Macaca mulatta: one gene and its partners. The protein of the gene in region 1 purifies or fractionates together with the protein of each later gene. This does not show direct contact. Links are inferred from orthologs where the notes say so. Each region holds a gene or a part of one and is shown on either strand. Other genes may lie near its edges.

Region 1 (7,614 bases):
AAGAGGTTGAGCATGGCTGGGCTTGGGCTTACGTGGGGAGCCCTGCAGACTTTTGGACCAGGATGGGCCATATCAGAGTAGTGTTTTTGGAAGGGCTACCTTGTCATGTTCAGCAGGAAGGGGGAAGGAAGAGAGATGCAGGAGGCAGGAACCCTATTGTTTTGTTTTGTTCTTGAGACTAGTCAAGTACGGTAGTGGGAAGCAGGGAAAAATAGAACAAGGACTTCCATCTGTAACTGACGTGAGCAATCCATTGAGATAACTCACTACTTTTAGACCAGCCAAGGGTCTAATATTTTTATTAATATTTTTAAATATTTTTTAATATTTTTATTAAAAAATATTTTTATTAAAAAAGTATTTAATACTTTTTAATATTTTTATTAAAAAATAAAAGTAGGCCAGGCGCGGTGGCTCAAGCCTGTAATCCCAGCACTTTGGGAGGCCGAGACGGGCGGATCACGAAGTCAGGAGATCGAGACCATCCTGGCGAACACGGTGAAACCCCGTCTCTACTAAAAAAATACAAAAAACTAGCCGGGTGAGGTGGCGGGCACCTGTAGTCCCAGCTACTCAGGAGGCTGAGGCAGGAGAATGGCGTAGACCCAGGAGGTGGAGCTTGCAGTGAGCTGAGATCCGGCTACTGCACTCCAGCCTGGGCAACAGAGCGAGACTCCGTCTCAAAAAAAAAAAAAGTATCCAAGCAATAACAGCTACAGCCATAGAAATAGGAATGGATCATTGTGAAAAATGTCAGAAAGATGCTGAAGGAAAAATGCTGGCTGTTGGTCTGTTAACTGGATGTGGGTGAGCATCAAAGGGACAGATACGCATCAAATTGGGATGTACCAGATGCAGGCACATAATAATATATCCCCTATATTATAATACAATAGCTGACACGTCCTCCAGATTTACTCTGTACTGGACATAGTGGCAAAGGGCTTAACGTGCAATATCTCATTTAAATTCTCACAATAACTTATGAGCTATAGAGACAAATGTGGAAACTCCGTACAGAGAGGTTTAGTAATTTGCCAAAACTCATACCTAAGTGAAGAGAAAAAGAAGATGGAAGCCTGAGGAAATAGTCAAGTCAGGAGTAGTAGTTTTTAAAATATTATTATCCTTTAGAGCATAGAGATTCAATTGAGGAGCAAAGCAGAGCTGAAGAACTGACCAAAGTATAAGACACAGGGAGAAACAGCCAGAGCGGGTTTCTGGAGGACGTGGGAGGAGATGGGAAGTGCCCAAAGGCCCCGAGAGAAGGCAGTGCTAGCAGCTGCCATCTGCCCAGTGATGTCCAAGCACGTGGCTGAGAGCTTAAAGAGAGAGAACAAGATGGAACACGTAACATTTGTTCGTGGAGAAAGGTGTGAAAATGCCGCCTCTGCCCCTCTCTTGTCTGCCCATCGTAGGTGATTAAGGAAGTTCAGGAGTTTTACAAGGACACCTACAACAAGCTGAAAACCAAGGATGAGCCCCAGCGGGAAACGCTGAAAGCCATCCACTATGCGGTATGTGGCCTTGGCAGAGACACCCTCCTGCGCTCACTCCGGACCGTGTCTGCACACAGCGGTGCTGACTGTACCAGACCAGTGCAAACATTCTAATCATCTTTTTTAAAATGTGTTTCTCTCATCCCCATCCCTGCCTTCTCGCTGTAGTTGGACTGCTGTGGTTTGGCTGGGGGCGTGGAACAGTTTATCTCAGACATCTGCCCCAAGAAGGATGTCCTCGAAACCTTGACCATAAAGGTAAACTCAGAGCAAGATCCTGGTGCCCCTGCACCATTACTGTGGGCAAACCCTGCGAGCATAAAAGTGACAGCAGCCAAGTGCTGCCTCAGAAAGACCCGGTCTGCCTGTGAAAGGGTCCCAGGGCACCCATCTCTTTCTCCCCTACTTTGGGCCCTCTGTTTACTGAAGGGCAATAAAACAAAAGGCCGGGCGCGGTGGCTCAAGCCTGTAATCCCAGCACTTTGGGAGGCCGAGACGGGTGGATCACGAGGTCAGGAGATCGAGACCATCCTGGCTAACATGGTGAAACCCCGTCTCTACTAAGAAATACAAAAACTAGCCGGGCGAGGTGGCGGGCGCCTGTAGTCCCAGCTACTCGGGAGGCTGAGGCCGGAGAATGGCGTGAACCCGGGAGGCGGAGCTTGCAGTGAGCTGAGATCCGGCCACTGCACTCCAGCCTGGGCTACAGAGCGAGACTCCGTCTCAAAAAAAAAAAATAAAAAATAAAAAATAAAATAAAACAAAGGCCAGACCAGGGGAACGACAAGTGCTCTGGCACCGCCCACTGCTGCCAGCCTGGAAGCTGTCGAGGGCAGGCGTGCTTCTGAGTCTTGGACTCCCGCTCTGACTTTGTCAGTGCCTCCTGTCTGTAAGCTGGAGTTAATGTCCAGCTCCAGAGTAGTAAAAAGTGACCTTACAACCGTATCAGAAATAGGCCCCCAAGCAGGGCCTGTCCCTCCTCCTTCCCTGATGTCCTGCCCAAATGTTTAGCATCCATTAGCATAGCCATCCCTTTGCTCCCCTTTCCATCCACCAGCCAGAACTTCTCTTATCCCTGAACACCCCTGTCCCCAGCCCACCCTCTGCCCACCAGTTCTCCCGGGTGAGACGGGTGCCATGGGAGGAAGGAGGTGCCCCGGGAGCAAGGATTGTGTGTCACCCAGGTCTTGGTTTGTCTCCCCAAGTCCTGTCCTGATGCCATCAAAGAGGTCTTCGACAATAAATTCCACATCATCGGCGCAGTGGGCATCGGCATTGCCGTGGTCATGGTGAGTGGCGGGATGTCGTCCCAGGAGGGGGACTGAGGAATTCACACTGATTCAGCCCATGCTCTGCCCAGATACTGCCGCAGTCTGTGCATTTGTCAGCTCACTTTGTCCTCGTGCCCTTAGTATTTCCATTTTACCACTAGGGAATGGAGAGACAGAGAGGCCGCCGTTCTGATCAAAGCCTCTCACCTCCTGAGTGGAGTATCTGAGGTTTCCCCTGGGTTTCTTCAGAGTCGACTCTCTTAGCCATTAAGGTTCAGGGCACATGGGCAGCAGTGCTGGCGCTGCTAGTCCTCAGAGCATGTCTCCTCACACACCTGCTGTTCTTCTCCCTAAGAAAGGAGTTCACTAGAGGCTACCGGCATGGGAATTATTTCCTGAAGAGCCTCTGAAAATGGGCAGCCAGAAGGAGGTCTCCTGCTAATCAGCCCCTAGAAACCAACAACGGCCAACCAGGTTCCTTGGGGTCATGTCCTCTCTCCCCGTGAGGGAAAGCCCCAGACGGAACATGGTCCTCGCTGGGATGGCCTTGGCTCCCTGAGTCTTCCCCCACCCCCGCCCGCTTCTGCCCCCTTGCCAGACTGCCCCCAAAGAGAGAATCGCCTCCTTTCTCCGGCATCTAAGAAAGGCATGAAGTACCTTTCAGCAAAAGATACAATAATACTTTCTTTCTTTTCTTTCTTTTCTTTTTTTCTTTTTTTGAGACGAAGTTTCACTCTTGTCACCCCGGCTGGAATGCAATGGTGCGATCTCGACTCACTGCAACCTCCACCTCCCAGGTTCAAGCAATTCTCCAGCCCCAGCCTCAGCCTCCTGAGTACCTGGGACTACAGACCTGTGCGACCACACCCAGCTAATTATTTTTAGTAAAGATGGGGTTTCACCATGTTGGTCAGGCTGGTCTTGACCTCCTGATTTCAGGTAATCTGCCCACCTTGGCCTCCCAAAGTGCTGGGATTACAGGCGTGAGCCACTGTACCCAGCCAAGATATCACAATACCTTTTAAAATAGAATATTAGGCCGGACGCGGTGGCTCATGCCTGTAATCCCAGCACTTTGGGAGGCCCAGGCGGGCAGATCACAAGGTCAGGAGATTGAGACCATCCTGGCTAACATGGTGAAACCCTGTCTCTACTAAAAATACAAAAAATTAGCTGGGCGTGATGGCAGGCGCCTGTAGTCCCAGCTACTCGGTAGGCTGAGGCAGGAGAATGGCGTAAACCCGGGAGGGCGAGCTTGCAGTGAGCCGAGATCGCGCCACTGCACTCCAGCCTGGGGGACAAAGCGAGACTCCGTCTCAAAAATAAAAAATAAAAATAAGGCCGGGCGCAGTGGCTCACGCCTGTAATCCCAGCACTTTGGGAGGCCGAGACGGGCGGATCACGAGGTCAGGAGATCGAGACCATCCTGGATAACACGGTGAAACCCCGTCTCTACTAAAAATACAAAAATTAGCCGGGCGCGGTGGTGGGCGCCTGTAGTCCCAGCTACTCGGGAGGCTGAGGCAGGAGAATGGCGTGAACCCGGGAGGCGGAGCTTGCAGTGAGTGGAGATTGCACCACTGCACTCCAGCCTGGGTGACAGAGCGAGACTCCATCTCAAAAAAATAAACAAATAAAATAATAATAATAATAATAATAATAATAAAATATTAACACTTTGGGAGGCCGAGGCAGGCAGATCGCATCACTGCATTCTAGCCTAAGCAACAGAACAAGACTCCGTCTCAAAAAAAAAAAAAGGAATATTAAATACACACAAAGACAAGCGCAAAAGTACTAACCTGTATGAACTGTAGGAAAACCTGGAATTTGAGCATTTAATTTGGCTCTGAGCTTCCTTGTCCCACCCTGAAAGTTCCCAAGGAAGCTGCTTGTGCACCTGACTGCCAACCCCCCAGATTCCTCACGTCCCGCGTCCTTCTCGTTATCTGGCCTGCATCTCTCCTGCTTCGGTACCTTCTGACTCGTTTGGCCTCCTGGATGCCATTCTCCTTGTCATTTGTCTTGGACTGGGTGACCCGTGTCTCTACCTTTCCCTCAGCCTGCCTTCACATCAAACCACCCTGATCCTCATGTTTCTTCCTATCTCCCAGATATTTGGCATGATCTTCAGTATGATCCTGTGCTGTGCTATCCGCAGGAACCGCGAGATGGTCTAGAGTCAGCTTACATCCCTGAGCAGGAAAGTTTACCCATGAAGATTGTTGGGATTTGTTTGTTGGTTGTTTGGTTTTTGTTTTTGATTTTGTTTTTTTTTTGCCACTAATTTTAGTATTCATTCTGCACTTCTAGATAAAAGCTAAAGTTATTTTATGTTTGTCTTTTAATGCTTCATTCAATATTGACATTTGTAGTTGAGCGGGGGGTTTGGTTTGCTTTGGTTTATATTTTTTCAGTTGTTTGTTTTTGCTTGTTATATTAAGCAGAAATCCTGCAATGAAAGGTACTATATTTGCTAGACTCTAGACAAGATATTGTACATAAAGAATTTTTTTGTCTTTAAATAGATACAAATGTCTATCGACTTTAATCAAGTTGTAACTTATATTGAAGACAATTTGATACATAATAAAAAATTATGACAATGTCCTGGACTGGTTTTGGTTTCCTTTAATTATTTTGAGAGCTATTTGGTTTGCAAATGTCTTTCAACTGCTATTAACTCTACCTGCATTTATATGAGAAGTAGTTTGGGCAGTTGCTCACCCCAGTTTGTTTACTAATGAAGACATCTAGATGTGGAAAGATTAAGGGATTCTGATCCAGAGTCACACAGGTGTTAACAGAGGAGTCAGCACCAGCAGCTGGTGCCCAGACGCTCATTCAGCAGTGTGACACGTATATCTTGGGGACATGACAGTACACGTCACACCATGGTGGCAGAACTTTGTTTTATTCACTGCCTAGCCCCCAGTTTCTGGTGCATAGTAGTGCTCAGTATTTTTTTATCAGTGAATATTTGTTGGTTGAATGAATAAATGAGTGTGTACCCATCAGGGTTTCATCAGAGAAGCAGAACCACTAAGAGGTACTTGTTTGAAGAGATTTGTTGTGGGAATTTGACCTTAACACAGTCACTGGCACTGGGGCTGCTTAAGCAGGCTCTGCAGACAACTGGGAAGGACAGACGGACGTAACGTAAGGGAGGACAGGCCCGAGCGGGAGCCCTTGAAGGCAGACACATCCGTCTGTGTCAGTTCTTTTTTTTTTTTGAGACAGGGTCTCGCTCTGTTGCCCAGGCTGGAATGTCATGGCCCAATCTCAGCTCCCTGTAGCCTCCCAAGTAGCTGGGACTACAGGCATGAGCCATCACACCCGGTTAATGTTTGTATTTTTTGTAGAGAAGGGTTTTGCCATGTTGCCCAGCCTGGTCTTGAACTGCTGGTCTCAAGCTATCCACCCGCCTTGGCCTCTCAAAGTGCTGGGATTACAGGTGTGAGCCACCGCACCCGGCCCTGTGTTAGTACCTGCCTCTGCTGAGGTGAGCCAGCAGAGAAGTCACAATTCGTATGAGCTGTGAAATGACCGCTGCTTCACTTCCCACCTCCAAACCTTCCACAAGTTTCTCCTCTGTGCTCTACTCTTAACCGGAAACACACAGGAAGAGAATTCTGGGAAGTGTGGTTCAGCTTACCCAGGTGGACAGATCACAAAGCCACCGCTGCATGGGAGGTGTGGTCCGTGCTCAGACTGCACTGTCGTGGGCCATTCGGAGGCAAGCAGGCAATAATGGCAGAGTGGGATGAACAGGAGAAAGGTGAAGTGCAGAGGCATAAGAAACCAATTTTTATTTTCCATTCCTTAATTCCATTTGGGTTCCTCCTTAACACTACAAAAAGAAAAACAGGAAAGAAGGATCAAAATGTCCCTGAATGCCATTACATTCAAACATCAGAACACCAAAGTTGATAGCAGTGTTATTCACAATAGCCAAAAGGTGCCAACTCAAATGTCCATCAACAGATAAATGGACAAACAATACATGGCATAGCCATATGATAGAATAGAATTCCACCTTAAATGCTGCAACATGGATGAACCTTGAGTACGCTATGCTCATTGAAATAAGCTAGACACAAAAGAACAAATATTCTACAATTCCCTTGATAGGAGGTACCTGGAACTGGTAAATTTATAAAGAAAATAGATTAAAAGTAACCAGAGGCTAGAGAGAAGGGAAAATAGGGAGTTATGGTATAATGAGTACAGAGTTTCTGTTTGGGATAATGAAGAAGTTCTAGAAATAGATGGTGGTGATTGTTGCAAAACTTTGTGAATATACTTAGTGCCACTACATTGTATGCTTAAAAATTGTTAATATGGGCTGAGCACGGCGGCTCACACCTGTAATCCCAGCACTTTGGGAGGTTTAGGTGGGAGGATTATTTGAGCCCAGTTCAAGACCAACCTGGGCAAAATAGTAAGACCCGATCTCTTTAAAAAACAAAACAAAACAAAACAAAAACAACTGGCTGGGCATGGTGGTGCACACCTGTGGTCCCAGCTACTTGGGATGCTGAGTTGGGCAGATCACCTGAGCCTGGGAGGTCAAGCCTGCAGTGAACCATGATCTCACCACTGCACTCCAGCTGAAGCAACAGAGCGAGACACTGTCTCAAAAAATGAACAAAAAAAGGGTCAAAGTGGTAAATTGATTATTACATATATTTTACTACACACAAAAAAATAGCTGGGTTGGCATTGTTGAGTGTCCTTGCTGCTCTGTGGCCCTAGGACCCTTGTTAATCTGAGGGCTGACTACTGTTCCGGTTGTGGAAATAACAGGTCAACCATTCGTTTTATTTTATTTTATTTTATTATTT
Region 2 (7,614 bases), on another chromosome or scaffold:
GAAAATTAAAGGATTTTTGTTGAATTACCGTGAATAGTGTTTTAAAATTGAAATCCTTTTCTTTTCAAGTCACTGATTGGCTGGAGGAATGTTACACGGCTGCTGGTGTTTTCCACAGATGCCGGGTTTCACTTTGCTGGAGATGGGAAACTTGGTGGCATTGTTTTACCAAATGATGGACAGTGTCACCTGGAAAATAATATGTACACAATGAGTCATTATTATGTAAGTGCTTAGTTCCTTACATAGCAAATGTGTTTATGTTGGATTTTAATGTTTAATACTAAGAGTTTGTGGGTGACTGGCTTGGGGTTTCTCAGGGTTTGAGGTTTTGCTATTTTGGTAAGTAGGGATCCTGATTGAAAGTGCAGGAAAGCTAGTGTTGCTGTTTGTGAAGATGTGGCTTTGTATTTGCTTCCTTCTGCTCAGACAAGGGCCTCACTGGGGTGAGAAAGGGATGCCCAGATGCCACTTTCACTCTTTGCCTCAACTCCCTGCCCACAGCATTTGGTAGCACAGTCAGTACTATTTCTAAATAAATAATTTATCTAGTCTCATACTCTTTGTCTTATATGATTTTTAAAAGCAGTCACTCTGCCTTTATTGAAAAGAAATATTGGCAAAAGCATTCAGGTTCTAGAAGAAATCCAAATGGGAAATCTTGGTCTTTTTCTTAAGTTGTAGATAGTAGAATATTTGATTACTGACTATTCTTTAATTTCATTGTCCCTATATTTAATATACATAGATAATCTTACTATTTAAAACCTTTTGAATATGGAATTTTTTGTTCAAACATGAAAGAGAAGAGGATTAGCAATTCATGTATACACACTACTCACTTCAGCAGTTTATATTTGATATTATTTGAAAGCAGTCTTGTAATCTAGTTATATGTATGCAAGAGATGTACTCTAACTATATATAAATTACATATGTAATCTAGTTATCTAAAGCAGTCTTGTAATCGAGTTATGTATAATCTTGCATGTATGACTAGATTGAAAAATTAGATTATAAGGGTGTATTTACATACTAAAATATATTACTTGATTTCTTAGGATTATCCTTCTATTGCTCACCTTGTCCAGAAACTGAGTGAAAATAATATTCAGACAATTTTTGCAGTTACTGAAGAATTTCAGCCCGTTTACAAGGTAAATGTGTGAGATAAAAAGAACAAAATTCTAAATATTTTTGGTTGAGTTGTTAGAGGCAAATCATGTCTGAATTGAAATGTGGGAAAATGCCACCAGATAGGCAAACCGAATTTTACAAAAGTGGTTTATATTAACTTTTAATTACATATTATAAAACTGGTTTCTAGGTTTGACTCCTAAAGTTAGTTAGGATGAGACATATGGGAACTGGCATTTAAAGATAAAAGTTGCTCAGTAGATGCTAATTGGTTGAATGAATAGTAGATGTATTTTACGTGTTTTATCTTTTAATTGCAGGAACTGAAAAACTTGATCCCTAAGTCAGCAGTAGGAACATTATCTGCAAATTCTAGTAATGTAATTCAGTTGATCATTGATGCATACAATGTGAGTACATCTTAAATAAGATCAGTTTTGGACAATACCCTGTTGAGAATACTTTCTTCAAAGAAAGTGAAACTTCCTTCATACACACCTTAGCGAGCCCAAAGTACTACAGAAATCTTAAATCTTAAAGGCATATTCTGATAGAATAGATGACTTTTCTGATAGAAAAGTTGTGTTTTTTTTTTTTTTGGCCAATTCTTTTCCCATATATTCAGAGGATATAGGTTTCTATTCAGGAGGTACACATACACTCATATATACATATACCATAAAATACATAAAAATGTAAATATATGTGTGATTTGCCTATTTCAAAAAGATTTATAGTGTTGTTTTCTCCTCACAGATGGGAGGAAGTTGAATTGAAATTAAAGAGGAATTGGCTTCTCCTTTTTGAGCATAATTCAGTGTACTTCAGTCACACTGAGTTAGCCTTAATTAGTGATCATTTAAATAATCTGAAGGCAATTGTAATATTATGGTAACCCTTGTGTGCCTCGTGCACCGCTTTCAGCCCCCATCCCCCTAACCCTTTGGCAGCTTGAATTTTAGACATTTTTACCTCATGTCATGGGGGTACCATAATACTTTGGAAAGGCCTGACTCGGAGGGGTTTTTACAAAGGTTTTTAAGGTTTTACTGGTTCCACAGCTTTTCCATTCTCCCCTGTTAGATAATTTTCGTAACCCCTGTTTTTCAGGGGTGTGAACAAGAGATAGCTTGCCATTTTACCCTTCTCCATTTGTCCTGAATAGTCTCATACGTTAAACAAGCACTGGTTTGAATCCTTGGGGGATTTTGGGTTTTTTTGTTTGTTTGTTTGTTTTGGCTGGGCTACAATGGTTCCTTAAGCAAATTTGTTCCTAGACTGCATAGTTGATTGTTTACCCTAGTCTGTAGTTAGCTGGAGAGGTAGAACTGCAGAAATGCCATTTTGCCAATGGGGAAGACAGCATTTATTTCACTTTTTTTTTTTTTTTTTTTTTTTTTTTAAGATGGAGTCTCGCTCCTGTCTCACCCTCCCGAGTAGTTGGGATTACAGGTGCATGCTGCCACGCCCGCTTATTTTTTTTTTAATTTTTTTTATTTTTGTATTTTGGCAGAGATGGGGTTTCACTGTGTTGGCCAGGCTGGTCTCCAACTCCTGAGCCCAGGCAGTCCACCTACCTCTGCCTCCCAAAGTGCTGGGATTATAGGCGTGAGTTACCACGCCCAGCCTGTTGCACATTCCTAAGACTTCTCCTGATCAGCAGTGGCCCTCCACACTGTGTGATCCTGAGTATTTTAACTCAGCGGTTAAAACACGAATACTCTTTTCAGTTGTGTATTTTATTTTACAGATTGGATCCTTATTAATTAAAACCTATTTCTCTGGCCTCTGTGTTTTCTAGTTGCTCAATTGGATTTGGCTTGTAAATATTTTATTGAAATATATTTTTTTCTGAATAGTTTATTTATCCATTGGTTTTATGCATTCAAGTAGATTTTGTTTGACTTTTCCTGTGTATAATTAGGCATTCTTTTAGTCCCTTTCCTCAGAAGTCATTTTGGAAAACGGCAAATTGTCAGAAGGAGTAACAATAAGTTACAAATCTTACTGCAAGAACGGGGTGAATGGAACAGGGGAAAATGGAAGAAAATGTTCCAATATTTCCATTGGAGATGAGGTATGTTGTATTTCCATTGGAGATGAGGTATGTTGTATAATATAATGTATGAGGTATATATTTTCTGTAGAAAACATTGGTTATTTATAAGCAAAGTTAGTTTGTACTTTGAGAAACATTAAAATAAGTGAGCAACTTTTTGAAATATTTTTTAGTAGATTTAAATTGCTTAGTTGTTAATCTTTTTTTTCCCTTCAAGGTTCAATTTGAAATTAGCATAACTTCAAATAAGTGTCCAAAAAAGGATTCTGACAGCTTTAAAATTAGGCCTCTGGGCTTCACGGAGGAAGTAGAGGTTATTCTTCAGTACATCTGTGAATGTGAATGCCAAAGCGAAGGCATCCCTGAAAGTCCCAAGTGTCATGAAGGAAATGGGACGTTTGAGTGTGGCGCGTGCAGGTAAGCTGGGCATTGTCAGACAGTGACATAGCTACATTGGTTTAGAGAGTACAGGCAGGTCATATTTTGGGACATCCAGAGAATATCTCTCTATTTGGAGCAAATATTTTTTCCAACCACGGTTGCTCACCACAAGATCAGTTTGATGATCTTGTGTGTGATATTTATATAAAGTTCCTTCCTGCCTTTTTTTCTTAAAGTGATTACTCTTTAAAATAAAAGATTTTATAGCCATGGAAGAAGTATATTCAACAAGTTGTCAAGGTAGTGTTTCTCTCATGTGAGAGCAATCTGAATTTATTAGAACAAAATAAGCTTATGTAAAATATGTTTATAGAAAAATAAAAACATCAAACCGGTGATGGTGATTTTGTTGGGGAAATGGAATTATGAAGCAATAGAAGATGTTTGTCTTGTACTACATGTACTTCTGCATTGTTGGAATTTAAAAAAAAATAAATATGTGTTGTAAAATAAAAAAGAGAAAATGGTATTTTCAGCATGTAGTGTCTAATACTAAGAAAACTAACAAAATTACTTCAGATTTTATTTTCACACTGTGGTTATTTTTTGTAATTGAAAATTAAAAACTGAGTATACTTTGAATACAGCTTTCTCCGTAAAAGAATAGGAAGAGGGGAGAGTGTTGAATCCAGTGTTAGCCCCAAATGACTAGGCTTAGAAGGCTGTTGACCATGAAAGAAATACATGGCTGTAGCTCACTATCAGTTTTTAATTGTCTGTGCTAAGTAATAATTTAAATGTTAGAATTTTTTTATCTTCCATGTTGTACATATCCTGTTTTAATCATGCAGGCCCATTTTTAGTAAATGTCATTTAACCAAAAAGATTATCTTGAAAATACTTTGCCTTTCTTTCCTTTATATTTTTACCAGATACAGAATCAGTGCAGTCAGTGTCCGTGAGCATTATGTGTTCTAAAAATACACAGGGAACCTGAAAAGTCTGCACCTGTAGGATAAATTTGTTTTTAAATAGTATACTAGTTATATTTTTAAGTGGTATGCACGGTATGTTTTTCTTCAACTTCCATACACTTTTTTGCATGTGTAATTGTATTTTTTTAGGCTAACAGACCATTGCTTTAAATTTAGACAGTTCATCTGGAATAGTAAATGTAATAGCATATACTATTTGAAAATGTAACTAATGTACTCTTTAAGTTTATTCTGCCTTTCCACATGTGTCATTCACTATTTATTGCTAGATTACATTTTCATCTTGACCAAAATGGTTACTTTCCTGAATAAATTTTTTTCCTAGACTCTTGCACATATTCCGTATGAACTCAAGTTCATACGGAACTGAAATGTACATGTGTGCCTGTGTATATTTGTCCATGCTGGCACATGTGTGTACACTTTACCACATGTCTGTGACATGTGGCATGGACACTCCCACCTAATAGATTGGTAGCTTGAAGAGATTTTTTATAGTTTTATTTCCTTTCCCAGTTTTTCTCTTTTAAATTATTTTCCCCTCCAAGATTCTTCTTCTTCTTTTTTTTTTTTTTTTTATTATACTTTAAGTTCTAGGGTACCTGTGCACAACTTGCAGGTTTGTTACATGTGTATACATATGCCATGTTGGTGTGCTGTACCCGTTAACTTGTCATTTACATTAGGTATATCTCCTAATGCTATCTCTCCCCCCTCTCCCCACGCCCTGGCAGACCCCGGTGTGTGATGTTCCCCAGCCCGTGTCCAAGTGTTCTCACTGTTCAATTCCCACCTATGAGTGAGAACATGCAGTGTTTGGTTTTCTGTTCTTGCGACAATAGTTTGCTGAGAATGATGGTTTCCAGCTGCATCCATGTCCCTACAGAGGACATGAACTCCTCCTTTTTTATGGCTGCATAGTATTCTATGGTGTATATGTGCCACATTTTCTTAATGCAGTCTGTCATTGATGGACATTTGGGTTGGTTCCAAGTCTTTGCTATTGTGAATAGTGCCGCAATAAACATACATGTGCATGTGTCTTTATAGCAGCATGATTTATAATCCTTTGGGTATATACCCAGTAATGGGATGGCTGAGTCAAATGGTATTTCTAGTTGTAGATCCTTGAGGAATCACCACACTGTCTTCCACAATGGTTGAACTAGTTTACAGTCCCACCAACAGTGTAAAAGTGTTCCTATTTCTCCACATCCTTTCTAGCACCTGTTGTTTCCTGACTTTTTAATGATCGCCATTCTAACTGGTGTGAGATGGTATCTCATTGTGATTTTGATTTGCGTTTCTCTGATGGTTAGTGACGATGAGCATTTTTTCATGTGTGTTGACTGCATGAATGTCTTCTTTTGAGAAGTGTCTGTTCATATCCTTTGCCCACTTTTTGATGGGGTTTTTTTTCTTATAAATTTGTTTGAGTTCTTTGTAGGTTCTGGATATTAGCCCTTTGTCAGATGAGTATATTGCAATAATTTTCTCCCATTCTGTAGGTTGCCTGTTCACTCTGATGGCAGTTTCTTTTGCTGTGCAGAAGCTCTTTAGTTTAATTAGATCCCGTTTGTCAATTTTGGGTTTTGTTGCCATTGCTTTTGGTGTTTTAGTCATGAAGTCCTTGCCCATGCATGTGTCCTGAATGGTATTACCTAGGTTTTCTTCTAGGGTTTTTATGGTTTTAGGTCTAACATTTAAGTCTCTAATCCATCTTGAATTAATTTTGTATAAGGTGTAAAGAATGGATCCAGTTTCAGCTTTCTATATATGTCTAGCCAGTTTTCCCAGCACCATTTATTAAATAGGGAATCCTTTCCCCACTTCTTGTTTTTGTCAGGTTTGTTAAAGATCAGATGGTTGTAGATGTGTGGAATTATTTCTGAGGGCTCTGTTCTGTTCCATTGGTCTATATCTCTGTTCTGGTACCAGTACCATGCTGTTTTGGTTACTGTAGCCTTGTAGTATAGTTTGAAGTCAGGTAGCGTGATGCCTCCAGCTTTGTTATTTTGGCAATGTGGGCTCTTTTTTGGTTCCATATGAACTTTAAAGTAGTTTTTTCCAATTCTGTGAAGAAAGTCATTGGTAGCTAAATGGAGATGGCAATGAATCTGTAAATTACCTTGGGCAGTATGGCCATTTTCACGATATTGATCCTACCCATGAGCATGGAATGTTCTTCCATTTGTTTATGTCCTCTTTTATTTCATTGAGCAGTTTGTAGTTCTCCTTGAAGAAGTCCTTATCCCTTGTAAGTTGGATTCCTAGGTATTTTATTATCTTTGAAGCAATTGTGAATGGTAGTTCATTCATGATTTGGCTCTCTGTTTGTATGTTATTTGTGTATAAGAATGTTTGTGATTTTTGCACACTGATTTTGTATCCTGAGACTTTGCTGAAGTTGCTTATCAGCCTAAGGAGATTTTGGGCTGAGACAGTGGCGTTTTCTTTTTCTTTTTTTTTTTTTTTTATTATTATTATTTTTAATTTATTTATTATTATTATACTTTAAGTTGTAGGGTACATGTGCATAACGTGCAGGTTTGTTACATATGTATACTTGTGCCATGTTGCTGTGCTGCACCCATCAACTCGTTATTTACATCAGGTATAACTCCCAATGCAATCCCTCCCCCCTCACCCCTCCCCATGATAGGCCCCGGTGTGTGATGTTCCCCTTCCTGAGTCCAAGTGATCTCATTGTTCAGTTCCCACCTATGAGTGAGAACATGTGGTGTTTGCTTTTCTGTTCTTGTGATAGTTTGCTAAGAATGATGGTTTCCAGCTGCATCCATGTCCCTACAAAGGACACAAACTCATCCTTTTTGATGGCTGCATAGTATTCCATGGTGTATATGTGCCACATTTTCTTAATCCAATCTGTCACTGATGGACATTTGGGTTGATTCCAAGTCTTTGCTATTGTGAATATTGCCGCAATAAACATACGTGTGCATGTGTCTTTATAGCAGCATAATTTATAATCCTTTGGGTATATACCCAGTAATGGGATGGCTGGGTCATATGGTACATCTA
Region 3 (8,347 bases), on another chromosome or scaffold:
TGGCTCCTAACCCAGGAAATAGCCTCAGTCTTGGGGAGAGCTTTTATTGCCAAAGCCTCACCTCCATCCAATTCCTTATTTTCTCCTCACACTTCTCCACCGCAGTGTTCCTGCAGGCGTGATGCTATGTGGGGTAGGTTCCCAGGGAGACACTTTTGGCCTGGCGGAGGTGGAATCTGGAACAGTTCTAAGTCATTTAAGAACACTTTCTCCACCATGTTCCACTTCAGTCTTTTAGGGCTGAAGAAAAGATGGGGAGGATTGATAGTTGGGTGGTTATGGAGCAGGACCAGCCCTCAGGCAGGACCCTGCTTAGCCCACACCAAACAGATGAGGTCCCTTGCTGTTTTCAAACTTGTCAGATGAGCATTCTACAGCTTCCCACTAATCTCACCAGTATTGCAGGACTCTCACTCATGGGGAAATAAAGGCCTCCTCTCACCACCCCTCCCTTTTTAACTTTTAATTTCATTTTCTAATTCTGTAATTTAATCCTAAATTTCTTTTTGCTTAGTCATCCCTGTTTAACTTTAACCAGGAAAATATACATCTGGACATGGAACAAGGAAGACTGAGAGTGAAAATGATTACTGGAATGAAACGTTGCCATGGAACATACTCCTGTCCCTGAGCCCCTGCTGAAGTAGGTAGGGGTCAGGGTCCTTTGGAGACTGTGTGCGTGTGGCAGGGCCAAAAACCCCAAGTCTAGGTGAATCTCAGATCAGCAGTTTCATTCACTGGGAACTTTTTAACATTTTCATTCACAAAGTTAAATAATATGATGATGTTTTTGCCTGATCTCAGCAGGGAAACTTGTTTGGCGTAATAGTATGAGGACTCTTGTAAGGTTTTAGGGGTATCACCTGCAGAAAGACATGTGTAACCAGAAGACCATAAGGTCTGACTGCTATGACCAGTGCCCCTTGGGGGCACTATGGTTGGAGAAAAGAAACCTACGTCAGCACTCTCCTTGGGGGTGGGCGTGAATCAATTAGAATTGCTGGAGAGTGAGTCTTCCTGCCCCAGGCAAGCCTATAGACTAAGACAGGAGAACAACCGGTTGGGGCAAAAGCCTTAGCTGTATAGAAGGTTACTCACTCTGGTAAATAAATATCTTTCATAGTAAAAGCATCATCAGATTCCAGAGTCATGAATTAACAAATTGTGCCAGTCTGCTGTGAGTGCTTCTTCCTTTATCCATTGGTAGTCAGGAATGTGCAAAGGGTGTGGTGGTTATAACCAACAGTCTAGAGTTATCAATTTATGCTTATTTTTTGCTTAAAAAAATGGCTCTTTGGTTAACTCCCATGACAGTTAACTGCCAGCCACCAGCAGGCTACCCACTTCAGTTCTCATTCTACCTGCCTTACCTAGACAATTTTATTTATTCTCATCATTTCAACGGTTAACCACTGTTATTCCCATGATTGTAAGGTGCACCATTAATTTAATAACACCCGGGCGTGGGTGAGGCAAGAAGAATCTCTATCACACTAAATACACAACATGTATTGTAAGCTTATCCCTACACTCCACAGCTAAAGACCTACCAATTTTTCAAGACTCAATGCAGAGTCATGACAGCCTCCTCCTGGACTGGCCGCTCCCTTGTGGTGTCACGACTCTACCTTGCACATGCTATCACAATGCACAAACTGTAGGCTCCTCAAGGGCAGGAACTGTCTGCTTCATCCCTGTACCCCCAGGATTTAGCCCAGTGTGTGCCATTAATTCACTCTATAAATATACATTAGGACCTACCATGTGCTAGGCACAGTCCCTGTCACGCATTGTTTATTAAACAAAAGAGTTTTTAAAACATCTACTCTGCCATAAGGTGGGATACAAGGTGAAAATGTGACAGCTTCTTAGGCCCATGCATTATTAGACAGAGATGGGGGCAGTGTATATGTTTCGCTAAAATGAATGTGACCAAGTGCCACAATGTATGGTTCAGACATTAAGTTTTCTAGGTGGTTAAGAAAAGGAAAGATGAAGGATGAGCTGAAATCTGAGCTGCTGAAGGTGCCAGGCCTCACATTTCTCTGAAGCTCCACTATCTTCCAAGGCCTAACATTAGGCTTGCATTCAAGGTTGATTGAATGAAATTGGAAAACTTCCCTGAAAAATTCTAGGGAAGAATTGGGATGGGGAAGATAAAGGAATTACAGTGTGTATGAACAGAACCAGGAAAGGCTTGGTGGCAGAAAAAAATTTAAAAAAAAATTATTGTATAAAATGTACATAACACAAAATTTACCATTTTAAAATTACAACTTTTTTTTTAGAGACAGTGTCTCACAATGTTGCCCAAGTGGTCTCAAACTTCTAGCCTCAAAAACAAAGAAAAAAGAAAAACAAGAAAAAGTTTTGGCCCAGTGGCTCAGACCTGTAATCCTAGTCCTTTGGGAGGCTGAGGCAGGAAAATCGCTTGAGCCCAGGAGTTCAAGACCCGCCTGGCCAACATAGGGAGACTCCAGTGTCTACAAAAAAATAGAAACAATTAGCTAGAGTGTGGTGGCACACATATGTGGTCCCAGCTATTGAGAGGTGGAGGTGGGAGGATTGCTTGAGCCTGGGATGTCAAGGCGGCAGTGATTCCTGATCGCAGCACTGCACTTCAGCCTGGGTGACAGATCGAGATCCTGTCTCAAAAATGAAATAAAGAAAAAAGACAAAACAAATAAAAACTCCTGGTTTCAAGCAACACCATCCTTGCCCCCGCTCCCGGCCTCCCTCTACCCCCGCCCCCGCCCCCAACTTCAGTCTTCTGAGTAGCTAGCATTACAGGCACCAGTTACCATGCCTAGCAATTTTAAACATTTCTAAGTGTACCATTCAGTGCCATTAAGTACAATAACGTTGCACCACCAGGAATGAATTTTTAAGACTCTTTCCAAAGGGTTCATACCTGGCTAATCACACATTTGATAGTGGAAATAAGAAACATTTGTTGGTTGAAACACGGATGCATGAGAGTAAAAGTAATGTTCTTCCCCTGTGTGAGTGTGGGCAGTTTCCGCATAAGCATCTGTGATCCGTTTTCCACATGTGAATGAAAGCCCAGTGAGGGGCAGTGGGCACCAGTCCTGCTCCTTGCGTGTCTGAATCATGCTTGCTAAGTTTCAAGCAAGGAATGCTCCGTTTCTCCCAATACCCGTGGGGCCTTTTGTATTCAAATCAAAAGCACAAAACTCTATTGTGGGGGGAAGTATGAGTCTTTATTGGCAACCAGTGGTGTCCACTTAGAGCAAGAAATATGAAGTCTTAACAGTACATTCTATATGAAGTACTATAGCTATTAATACACTTGGGTTTCGTTTGTTTTTTAAATGGGTGTCTTTGTGTGGAGCTGTTCTAATCAGTGCCACAGGCGCTGAGGAGAGGGAGGGTGCTGGGTAAGGAGGAGGCAGGCCCACCCAAATCACCGGGGAGTGGGCAGTCAGGACAGCGGGGTTCTGATTTTGCCCCTTCCCTGTGAATCCTTGGGCACCTCACCGAAACACTTAAGGCCTCTGTATGGTAGACGTTGGAATCCGTGGCCTTCAAAAGTCCTTTCAGCTCCTTCGCTCCCATCTGCGTAATTTTTGGCATAGGCCAAGCGGCTGGTTGCTGGGGTGTTTAGCTCAGGACGCGAGGCCGAACGAGCGGGCAGTTGATTGAGGATAGACTAGACACGCGTGGGTGACTCCAGCGTGATGGAACGCGGGGTGTCCCGGGATAGGGCTAAAGCGAAGGGATTTCCAGACGAGTCTTTCCCAGGCCAACTTTTAAAGGTCGGAGGAAAGTTTCTCGTGGGGTGGGGGCCTAGAGGGGAAGGCAGGGTGGGCTCCGACGCCTCCTCGCCTTTAAGCGGGTGGCCCCTGCGCTTCCTCCGTTACCTGGAGCGGGGAGGGGCTTGGGAAAGTTTGTGTTTGTTGCTGGCAAAGCGCCGGATGGGAGGCGCGGGCGGGCGGGCGCTGCGGTTCTTCCCTTCTGCTTTCGGGAAGCGGTCGGGGCTGCACACTCGGATCGGCGGGGCCGGCTCCCGGGCCCGGCCGGCTGGAGGAGGGAGGGAAGGAGGCGGGAGGGAGCGAGCGGAGCCAGGGGCGCACGTACGCCCCAGCGCTGGGATTTATCGGCTCGCGAGGAGAGCGGAGCAGGCGCGCGGCCCAGGCGGAGGAGCGCCGACTCTGGAGCAGCCGGAGCTGGAGGAGGAGGAGGAGGAGAGGCGGCGGGGAAGGAGGAGGAGGGGGAGAGTCGCTCCCGCCGGGCGAGCATGGGGCGCCTGGCGCCGAGGCCGCTGCTGCTGGCGCTCCTGTCGCTGGGTGAGTGTGCGCGGGGCTCAGCTGGGCGCAGGGGGTCTGGCAGGGCCCTGGAGGGCTCGGCGGGGCGCGGCTGCAGCGCGCGGCCTGGGTCACTGAGGGTGCCCGGGCTGCTCCCGGGAAACCCGGCCGGGGTGCGCGGGCTGCTTGGCCCGGCGGGGAGCGGCCGCGGGGCCGCCCGGAGCCTGGCGCGAATCAGCCCGGGCCCCGCGCGCAGGGTGCAAGTGGCGGCTCCGCCAGGCCGAGCCTCGCCCCCAACATGTGCCGGGGGGAGTGGCCCGGGCCGGCTTTCCCCAGCCCTCCCTACCTGTTGGCCGCCGGGAGCCCGGCTCACCTTGAACTCCCGGCCCGGAAGGTGCTGCGGTCCCGGCCCGGGTCCCCCGCTCGAGAGCGGAAATGTGAGCCTTTGATATGCCCCGCCATAGCCGCCGCCGGCCGGGTCTCTCTTCGCCCAGCCCGCGCGGAGTTGCCTTTCCAGGGAAGCGAGAGAATCCTCCAACTTCCTTCCACGAAGGTCACAGGGTGGCCCGGAGCGTTACAATGGAAATCGGCGGGCGAGTCCTGCCGTCATTTTCGTCGTGGCTAGATTGTCTGTCTCAGTCTTTTCTTTTAGCTTTTCTTGAAGCTGCCTAGCTGCGTATTTATACACAAAGACCTAAGAGCCTGGCTTCTCCAACTTTTTCTACCTGTTACTTTTCCTCCCTTACTGTCCCCTCATCTTCCACCCTCCGGAAACCCTCGGTGCCCCGTGAGGTTTTGGCCCAGCGCCCTCCCCCCACCCAAGGAATCTTTTGTGGGTTTTTTCCCTCTCCATTTTCCATTCACTCCATACACAGACACCATCTTCACGTAGATCCACATGGTGATCCTAGCCAGCCACGGAAATATGTTTATTAAGTGCCCACCATGGTACCCCAGGGCCGACTCTTAAATGCTTTGATATTCTTGGATCTTTGTGGTCAGTGTCAACCAGGACAAGATGATTCTTATGACCCGGCCTGGGGTTCTCTTCCAAGCCCCTAGAGAAGGCAGATCTGAGTCTTTTACAGAGCGCATGGTGTGCGGTGTCCGTCCCATCCAGGTCCCAGCTGCACACAGGGCAAATGACTACTCTGCACTTATGGTCGGAGGGTCCCAGAGAAGGCCTTCTATAGCCACTCCCCTACTGGGGACACCGGGGGCCCACACTGCTCTAAGCCCCGTGACTCCTGCTGCTGGTAAACCAGCCTTGCTAGCTTCTGTTTTCTTCCTTCACCTTGAAGAGATTTTCTGAACTGACTCCCTCAGAGAGCTCGTCCAGCCACATTGCTTCAGCTTCAGCCCATGTGCAGAAAGCTTCCAGATCTTCCACTTAGTTTTATGGCATCTTTTCTATAGTCCCTGATCCTAGTGCTTTGTTTTTATTTTTGAAACAAAGCCTCACTCTGTCACCCAGTCTGGAGTTCAGTAGCACAACCATAGCTCACTGAAGCCTCAAACTCCTGGGCTCAATTGACTCTCCCACCTGAGCCTCCTGAAGTGCTGGGATTACAGGCATGCTCCACCACACCCGGTGGTAGTGCTTTTAATCTTTACTTTTCACTGCGGGACCCTTGTAAGTTGTATGTTAGTGGTGCACTGCTGTTATAGTCCACACACAATTTTTATTGACTGTGTGTGTCTAGGTCAAGCAGGGCCGTGGCCTGGGTTTGCACAGATTGTGCACTGTGCAACTTCGGGAGCTGCTGTTCACTTTGTAGTCTGTGTGAATGACTCCCCCTAGAGTTGTGCAGTTCTTTGAACAACCTGGGTACCAGTTATGAGGGTGGGATGAGGTAGAACTTTGAAAACTTTGAAAACAATGCCCTTGAGTAATCATAATGAGGGGGGAAGAGGGAAGGGGGCAAAGAGAGACTGACAAAAGCAAAATAGAAGTGGGGAAAGCACAGCTTGGGGAAATCTTGATTGTACTCCAGCATATCCTGTCCTGGCTGGATGCCTCCTATGAATTACACTGGGAATTTCTGTGGTGTCACTAGCCGGTGCCTTTTTACCTGACAGTTCTCTGAACCATTGATGACCCTCCTGATAACTCTGCTGCCACAGAATCTCACTTGGCGTGACTTCAGCCTGACCTCTGGGAAGGTCTCCCTGTGTTACACTACTCTAGCACTGTACTGATCCCTGAAATGTAATACATTGATAAGCAAGATCATCTTTTCTCCTAGGGAGTAACCTGAGTATAATCTTGGTATCACTGCTCTTTTTGACCTCCACATTCACATAGTCTCTCAATTCTTGCGTCTCCCCATAGCACAGACTCCAGCTTCTTCCTTTCCTTCCTGTTTCTACGGCTACTGTCTTAGCCCAGGTCCCAATTGTTTCCCACACAATTGGTGTCTTCGTGGTTGGTTATTTCCTCCAGCCTCCCTTTTAAGCTCATCCTTTTCCTAAATGATCATTTTTGGGGCTCCCACCTGTTCTCACTGGGTCCTTATGACTTTCCTCCAAGGAGATGTTGCCCCTAGTGTCCTCCCCTCCAGTCTTCTCTGGCTGACACACTTTGTTCTATCTAACCTGTTTGCTCTCCTTTATGTAGACTATATTAAACTTTCCGGCCCCTTCTACTTCTCACCTCTTGCCTGTGTATTAGTATTTCCTTTTTCCCCTAAAACTCACTTTCTCCATGAAGCCTTTCTAAACCCACCTACCATGATCCCACCAGAACCCACCCAGCCACATAGGGCAGGTTTCACATCCATTGCCTGTGTCTGATCTGTCTTGCCCGTCCACTCAGTGTGGCATTTCTTGAGTGGCCACTCAAGAAATGTGCCACATTCACAGAGAGAGTGCCACTCTGTGTGCAACCGTGTGTTCAATACTGGGAGTCCCAGACAAATGACCAAGACACAGCATCTGCCTGAGCGGCTGGTGGGTGTGAGTGGACAGAGAATAAAATAGCTAACCACAGGCCTGAATGAAATACCTGACGTGGAAACCAAGTGTGGGAAACAAGGAAGGGGATGATTAATTTTGACTTGGGGGTTGGGGCTGGTTTTGCTGAAGAGGTGACATTTGAGCTGAGCCTTGAGGATAATTAGAATTTTGAAAGAAAGGATAGAAGAGCATTCTAGGCTCTGGGGAAAAGCCTGAAGTGTGGATGAGTGAAAGTACATGGCTCATTCAGAAATGGCACGTAAGTTCTATGTAACTGGGAGGAGGAGGAAATGGGGGTGCAATTATTTGGGGGAGGAGGAAATAATGGGGGAGGAAAGGTGGGTTTGAGATAGATCCTGTAGGTTTTGCGTGCTGTGCTGAGGAGTCTGGACTGGGAGGGGTAGATTTCTTGGCGCTCTGGGTGCTGCCAGGCAGTCTGTGCCCTGTCATCAGAGCATATATTTACTTCATTGTATGTAATTGTCTGTTCCCTACTCCAATTGTTTCCCCTGGGGGCAGGGGCCACATTGGTTTTGTTCACTACAATGTCCCTATTACTAATAGGATATATAACCCATACTGGGTGTTTGTTACATATTGGCTGACTGAATACTTATAAATATATATGTCGTTTTATCTGTGGGAATGGGTAGCCATTAAAAGTTTGTAGGGCGAGATTAGGAGGACAGGGTGGTGTGTTGAGGAGGATAAACCCTCAACTAGTGCAACATAAATTGGAGAGTGGAAGGCACAGAGATTGTAGGGTGGGATTAACACATTTTCTTCATTTATGTCTTTATTTTGGTAAATCTATTGAGATACTTTTTTAAGTGTCAAAAGCATCACATCAGTATTTTAGAATTCAAATAATATAAAAGGACTTTGTATTAATCAGGTAGGCTAAACTGCTCTAACAAACTCGAAGCATAGTGGTTCAGACAATAGATGTGTCTTATATAACAATGTGAGGGAGATGCTTCAGAGGGAAGGGTTGGGTGGGAACCCTGCTTTCCACAGTCATTCTGGCTCCCCAGCTGGTGGCAGTTCCACTGTCTTCAACTCACAGTTTCTAAGATCACTTTGGTAGTCATCTTCACCATTCCAGCCCCTACAAAGGAGGAAAAGAG
Region 4 (6,500 bases), on another chromosome or scaffold:
GCTGTTGTCAAGGCAGAGGCTGAAGGTAGCCCCAGCTGCCTGTTTCTAGACCAGGGCTCCACAGTGGCACCAAGCAAAGCCTTCCCCTGCTGCAGGTCCCTGGGCCCTGCAGGGCTAGGATGAGTCCTCTCCTTGGTCCCTGGGCAGGTGGCAGGAGGATGTACAGAGAGGAAGGCTCTGTGGGACCTGGGTTGCCTAGCACTTGCTGTGTTTTCCCCAGCGGGCAGCATGGAGCAGGGAGGAGCCCAGGGAGGTGGGGAAGTGCTGGCCTGTGGTTGAAAAAGGAGCACGCAGACGTCTGAGCACCCACTGCCTGTGGGCACTTACATTCATTTCACAAGTGAGGAAATTGAAGTAACTTGCCCCAGAGAGCACATTTAGTGAGTATTAGGGCTAGGATTTGAACACAGATCTGATTCCAAAGCAGGCCTCTTTGCTCTCCCTTTCCTCGCTGCAACTAATACAGAGGAGGTGAGAGAGAGCTGTGTGGCAACTGATTTCCTAAGGCTGTGGAGGTAACTTTCCCATGGGGATCTCCAAGCATCAGCAGTTGTGGAGCCAGGAAGATGGGAGGGGGCCTTCTGAGCAGTCTGCCCCGAGGCAGTCAGGGAAGGTGTCAGCTTGGCCGTCTCCACCATCACCCTGATTATGAAACTTGCCTGGCCTGGGGCAGGGCTCTCCTGAGTCACATACGCACTCATGCATGGTCAGAGCTGGAGCTCTTAGTTCTCCTCCAGTGTGGAAACCGAGGCCTAGGACAGAAAGAGACTGGATCCCATGCCACACAGCTGGGCATGGGGATGGTGCTGGAATCTCACTTCCTGATTGACAGCCTGTGCCCTTAACAACAGACCATGAGTTCTCCCTGTGACTCAGCCAGAGGATAAAGGAAGGGGCTAGGAGCCCAGCAGCAGGGGTGGGGAAGTTCAGAGGAGCCATTCTAGAGAAGCTGGAGGGTAGAGTTTGACCACAGACTCCTGGGCATTTTCCTCTAGCTTCTGCAGAAAGTCCATGGTATCCCCCTGGGAGGCCTAAAAGTGACACTCTGGTTGGTGAGGTCAGTCCCTTCAGGCCTGGCCTTGGAGTTTCCCCATTTTCCTCCCTGGTTTTGCCCCTCTGGAGGAGGGTGTGGAAGCCATCTAGGGACAGCATGATCTTGGCTAAGATATTATACTTTTCCTGCCTTACCTTTCTCATCTGTAAAATGGGGAGGGGGGGAGGGGTAGCCTAGCCCTCTTTACATTCTGAGGTTCTGCGATTTTATCTAGTGGGAGCTATGGAAGGAGAGAAGGGAGGAGCTAAGCCCTCTAAGTCTGCCAGGAGTATCTGCTGGGGTAGAGTTGGGCATAGGGGTGGAGTAGGGTGAAGAAGAGAGGTTTGACCTTTCTGAAGGGAGAGAGATGAGAAGGGGCAGCTTGGGATTTAATGCCTCCCTACAGAAAGAAAGCCATATATGTAAATGAATGCATACCATATGCAAATGAAGGCTTTGTTAAGGAACTGGGGCAGGCGCCTTGTGTGTCTGCTGGGCTAGCCAGGAAGGTTGGCAGGCACTGGAGGAGGGGATCTTCTGCCCCAATGGCGAGAGCAGAGCCTGGACCTTGCCCCAGAAGCCCCAGCTGCCTGGGCAGCCCTGTGGGGTGAGAGAAGCAGTGAGCTCATTGCGCAGCTGGAGGGGGGAGGGCATTGTGTGGTGAGAACTGACTGGGCCTGTGCCCTTTCCAGCTAGGGTCACTGGCTCCATTGTCTGGTCCAGGTGACACAGCTGAGCCAACTAGCACTTCTGAGCAAGACTGCCAGCTCCCCTCAAGCAAAGGGGAGGGACATGTAGTCTCAGCATCCCCCAGCCAGAAGGCTCCCCTGGCCAGGCACTGAGGAAGGAATGGCAGACATGGAGGTGGGTGAGTGGCAGGGACAGATCAAGGTTTAGCTGGAACCAAAGCCTGGTTAGGTCAGGAATCAGATGTACTCCTTTCTGCCTTCAGGCGCTCTGCTTCTAGTCCACCAGAAATGGGATGCATCTAGGTGCCAAGGCAATCCTGGGCCCGTGCCACCTTCTTGAGATCCAGGTGTCTTATATCACAGCATCCCTTTCCTATTCTCAGAACAGGGTCCAAGCTGTGGACCATCTTCCCCAGGTGTCCTTTCCTTTTGTAGGCAGAGATCAAGAATGGTGCTTGTGGTGGCAGAGGGCATGGAATGGGGAATCAGGCATCTCCAACTTCTTCTGCCTTTCCCTACAGGAATGGGATGCTGGGCCCGGGAGGTGCTGGTCCCCGAGGGGCCCTTGTACCGCGTGACTGGAACAGCTGTCTCCATCTCCTGCAACGTGACCGGCTACGAGGGACCTGCCCAGCAGAACTTCGAGTGGTTCCTGTATAGGCCTGAGGCCCCAGATACTGCACTGGGCATTGTCAGTACCAAGGATACCCAGTTCTCCTATGCTATCTTCAAGTCCCGAGTGGTGGCGGGTGAGGTGCAGGTGCAGCGCCTACAAGGTGATGCTGTGGTGCTCAAGATTGCCCGCCTGCAGGCCCAGGATGCTGGCATTTATGAGTGCCACACCCCCTCCACTGATACCCGCTACCTGGGCAGCTACAGCGGCAAGGTGGAGCTGAGAGGTACTGGGCCCTGGGACGGGGTGGGGCCACACACCCTCTCAAGGCAGAAAGTCAAAGCCACAAGTGACCTATCTAACTGCCCCTTAGGTTTTGTAGCCAAGGAACTTGAGGCCCAAAGAGGTTAAGTGACTTGCACAAAGTCGCCCAATAACTCAGTGACTGATATGGGACTCAAACCCAGATTGCCTCACCCAGGCCAGTGCTTGTCTTATCATATCAAGACCCCTCCTGGGAGATGAAGGGTCCTTAAGTTGTCCATTCCCCTTTCCATTCCCAAGAACGAGGAAGACTATTGGGTTGAATAGACTCTACTACTGGACAGTACAGGACCCAGATCTGGCAAAGAGAGTAGAGTTAGGGAAGGAGTGAGACCGTGTGACATTCTCACTAAGTTTCTTTGTGTTCTGAGAAGGAAGACAGAACCACTTTTCTCAGTATTTCAAACAGGGGTCAGTCTCGAACATAGAACCAACATGGGCTGGTTCTATGAAATTCAACAAGTATTTATTGAGTGCCTGTGCTGTGCCCAGTACTGCACTTGGCACCACTGAGTTACAGAGGAAATAATACAACATGCAATCTTTGCCCTCTGAGAGCTCACAGTCTATTTAGGGAGATAGGCTGTACACAGGAAACAGTAACAAGGGCTGCCAGCTCCCAGCCCTCCCTCACTCCAGCTGTTCTCTCCAGTTCTTCCAGATGCCCTCCAGGTGTCTGCTGCCCCCCCAGGGCCCCGAGGCCGCCAGGCCCCAACCTCACCCCCACGCCTGATGGTGCATGAGGGGCAGGAGCTGGCACTGGGCTGCCTGGCGAGGACAAGCACACAGCAGCACACACACCTGGCTGTGTCCTTTGGGCGATCTGTGCCTGAGGCACCAGTTGGGCGAGCAACTCTGCAGGAAGTGGTGGGAATCCGGTCAGACTTGGCCGTGGAGGCCGGAGCTCCCTATGCTGAGCGACTGGCTGCAGGGGAGCTTCGTCTGGGCAAGGAAGGGACCGATCGGTACCGCATGGTAGTAGGGGGTGCCCAGGCAGGGGACGCAGGCACCTACCACTGCACTGCCGCTGAGTGGATTCAGGATCCTGATGGCAGCTGGGCCCAGATCGCAGAGAAAAGGGCTGTCCTGGCCCACGTGGACGTGCAGACACTGTGTAAGTACCACTTATACATCCCACTGTGGGAGCTGGGAGGGACAGTATCCTGGTGGGTGCTGTGGCCGCAGGGGGTACCAGAGAGCTATCATCTGACTCCAAGGAACTCATCTTCCACAGAGTGAGCAGCCTTGTTAGCATTTCTTCCCCCTCTGCCCTTGATGGGTTTTCTCTGCTCAGAAATTGGGTATAGAGCTAGGAGGCCCATGGCTGAGGGGTGAGATTCAAGCCCCCAAGTAGAAAGATGATCATACCCAGTGAGGGGCAGACAGGAGGTTTTGAAGTTGCTGCTGTCAAGGAGGAAACAGAAAATTGGGAATCAGGTGCCTCTGTGTCCCCTCCTGCCTCCATGACACCTCTTCCCCTTCCTGTGTTTCAGCCAGCCAGCTGGCAGTAACAGTGGGGCCTGGTGAACGTCGGATCGGCCCAGGGGAGCCCTTGGAACTGCTGTGCAATGTGTCAGGGGCACTTCCCCCAGCAGGCCGTCATGCTGCATACTCTGTAGGTTGGGAGATGGCACCTGCGGGGGCACCTGGGCCTGGCCGCCTGGTAGCCCAGCTGGACACAGAGGGTGTGGGCAGCCTGGGCCCTGGCTATGAGGGCCGACACATTGCCATGGAGAAGGTGGCATCCAGAACATACCGGCTGCGGCTAGAGGCTGCCAGGCCTGGTGATGCGGGCACCTACCGCTGCCTCGCCAAAGCCTATGTTCGGGGGTCTGGGACCCGGCTTCGTGAAGCAGCCAGTGCCCGTTCCCGGCCTCTCCCTGTACACGTGCGGGAGGAAGGTGAGAGGGGGCTGGGCCCTGGACAGGGTTTGAGGATTGTCAACCCCTTTTCCTTCTGTTTCCATGCCCCCCTCCCTCTCCATCGGCTGCTTGCATGCCACAGCCTCACGCTCCTCTTCTCCCAATATTGTGGGAATACCCTGAGTTTCCTGCGGCGGTGCTTGGCAGCAGCTCTGACCCCATGCTCCCTGGCCCTGCACCCTCTGACCCCATGTCCTTTGTTCTGCAGGCGTGGTGCTGGAGGCTGTGGCGTGGCTAGCAGGAGGCACAGTGTACCGGGGGGAGACTGCCTCCCTGCTGTGCAACATCTCTGTGCGGGGTGGCCCCCCAGGACTGCGGCTGGCCGCCAGCTGGTGGGTGGAGCGACCAGAGGACGGAGAGCTCAGCTCTGTCCCTGCCCAGCTGGTGGGTGGCGTGGGCCAGGATGGTGTGGCAGAGCTGGGAGTCCGGCCTGGAGGAGGCCCTGTCAGCGTAGAGCTGGTGGGGCCCCGAAGCCATCGGCTGAGACTGCACAGCTTGGGGCCCGAGGATGAAGGCGTGTACCACTGTGCCCCCAGCGCCTGGGTGCAGCATGCTGACTACAGCTGGTACCAGGCGGGCAGTGCCCGCTCAGGGCCTGTTACAGTCTACCCCTACATGCATGGTAAGTGACACCCCTCCACCCTCTTCGCTCTGCCTTCCTGCCGGCCCCTGCTGCTGGCCTTCCCTTCCCATCTTCTCACCCTCCTGCTACTATCTCTCTCCTCCACATCCTGTCACATGAAGTCTCAAAAAATCCAACTTCCAGCCCTGCAGTGCCCACCTGCATGGGGTCCTCTGTGGTTGATGCTGACTTGCATGCTGAGAGGGCAGGCTGTGGGCAGGGATGGGGTGCCTGTGAATGGAGAAGGTGGGTTCAGAGAACTTGATGGGGAACGTGTAGAGGCAAGTGTGATGGGTGGAGGATGATGGCATCCTCTCTGAACAGTCATACTCTCTCCCCCAGCCCTGGACACCCTGTTGGTGCCTCTGCTGGTGGGTACAGGGGTGGCCCTAGTCACTGGGGCCACTGTCCTTGGTACCATCACTTGCTGCTTCATGAAGAGGCTTCGAAAACGGTGATCTCTTACTCCCCAGGTGAGGGAAAAGAACCCCCCAACCTTGTTTTCACTGGGCTTCCCACCACCAAGTCCTGAACCAAGCTGCTCCCTCCCAGGCCCCACCTGGAGGAGGAGTAGGCAGCTCAGATCCACAGGGCCCTGTTAAGGGGTGGAGGCCACGAGGGAGCCCCACGCAGGGCTCTCTGTCCTTAGCTCACACTGGGTGCCCTTTTCAGGTCTTGCAGGTGTTGACTGTCTTCCGGCCCAGCTCCAAGCCCTCCTCTGGTTGCCTGGACACCCTCTCCCTCTGTCCACTCTTCCTTTAATTTATTTGACTTCCCACTACCCAGAATGGGAGACATGCCTCCCCTTCCCCACTCCTTCCCTCCCAAGCCCCTCCCTCTGGCCTTCTGTTCTTGATCTCATAGGGATCCTATAGGGAGGCCATTCCCCATCCTGGAATTAGTTTTTCTAAAAGGTGAATAAACTGGTTTTATAAAAAGCAGGCTTGGCTGTGTCTTCCCTATCATGAGACTGTAAAAGGCTCAGGGTGCACAGTAGGGAGGTGGTTGGGGGTTGACAACCTATTCTGGACGACCCAGGCCTCTCTTCCCACCACAAACACCATCTGGCCTCCACGGGCCATGCCACCTACCCCAGGAGGGGACACCTGGGTTCCATCTGCTGCCTGAACTGTCAGGGCTGAGACAACTCCTGACTGGACTCCTACTTGGGGAGGGAAGCATAGAAAAGGAGGGTAGGTTCCAGCTGCATGTGGTCCCCCCTCCCCAGCTTCTCCCATGTTAAAGGGCATGGGCCTCTAGGGGCAGTGCCTTTTCTGAGCTCCCCAGACTTTCCCCC

Evidence for each region.
Region 2: the proteins of CD9 (region 1) and ITGB1 purify together in Homo sapiens (co-immunoprecipitation; 5 studies listed by BioGRID and IntAct, with this or other methods). This does not show direct contact. The link is inferred for Macaca mulatta from reciprocal best matches to the Homo sapiens genes CD9 and ITGB1.
Region 3: the proteins of CD9 (region 1) and PTGFRN purify together in Homo sapiens (co-immunoprecipitation; 8 studies listed by BioGRID and IntAct, with this or other methods). This does not show direct contact. The link is inferred for Macaca mulatta from reciprocal best matches to the Homo sapiens genes CD9 and PTGFRN.
Region 4: the proteins of CD9 (region 1) and IGSF8 purify together in Homo sapiens (affinity purification with mass spectrometry; 5 studies listed by BioGRID and IntAct, counting the BioPlex papers as one, with this or other methods). This does not show direct contact. The link is inferred for Macaca mulatta from reciprocal best matches to the Homo sapiens genes CD9 and IGSF8.

Annotation. Positions count from the first base shown.
Region 1 is NC_133416.1:7,163,042-7,170,655, forward strand, and holds the end of CD9 (CD9 antigen), read left to right. Parts: intron 1-1,418; coding exon 1,419-1,517; intron 1,518-1,667; coding exon 1,668-1,757; intron 1,758-2,704; coding exon 2,705-2,788; intron 2,789-4,884; coding exon 4,885-4,950; 3' UTR 4,951-5,276; downstream 5,277-7,614. UniProt on the Homo sapiens protein: Integral membrane protein associated with integrins, which regulates different processes, such as sperm-egg fusion, platelet activation and aggregation, and cell adhesion.
Region 2 is NC_133414.1:34,304,851-34,312,464, reverse strand, and holds part of ITGB1 (integrin beta-1), read left to right. Parts: intron 1-69; coding exon 70-225; intron 226-1,061; coding exon 1,062-1,157; intron 1,158-1,457; coding exon 1,458-1,547; intron 1,548-3,073; coding exon 3,074-3,241; intron 3,242-3,413; coding exon 3,414-3,613; intron 3,614-7,614.
Region 3 is NC_133406.1:123,367,918-123,376,264, reverse strand, and holds the start of PTGFRN (prostaglandin F2 receptor negative regulator), read left to right. Parts: upstream 1-3,967; 5' UTR 3,968-4,258; coding exon 4,259-4,307; intron 4,308-4,638; exon of another isoform or gene 4,639-8,347. UniProt on the Homo sapiens protein: Inhibits the binding of prostaglandin F2-alpha (PGF2-alpha) to its specific FP receptor, by decreasing the receptor number rather than the affinity constant. Functional coupling with the prostaglandin F2-alpha receptor seems to occur.
Region 4 is NC_133406.1:106,788,803-106,795,302, forward strand, and holds the end of IGSF8 (immunoglobulin superfamily member 8), read left to right. Parts: intron 1-2,211; coding exon 2,212-2,621; intron 2,622-3,311; coding exon 3,312-3,773; intron 3,774-3,919; exon of another isoform or gene 3,920-4,021; coding exon of another isoform or gene 4,022-4,063; intron 4,064-4,152; coding exon 4,153-4,560; intron 4,561-4,789; coding exon 4,790-5,203; intron 5,204-5,209; exon of another isoform or gene 5,210-5,278; coding exon of another isoform or gene 5,279-5,434; intron 5,435-5,545; coding exon 5,546-5,661; 3' UTR 5,662-5,676; intron 5,677-5,852; exon of another isoform or gene 5,853-5,875; 3' UTR 5,876-6,141; downstream 6,142-6,500. Other genes in the region: KCNJ9 (G protein-activated inward rectifier potassium channel 3), read right to left, coding at 5,279-5,434. UniProt on the Homo sapiens protein: Member of the immunoglobulin superfamily (IgSF) that links tetraspanin-enriched microdomains to the actin cytoskeleton and plays several important roles in innate and adaptive immunity.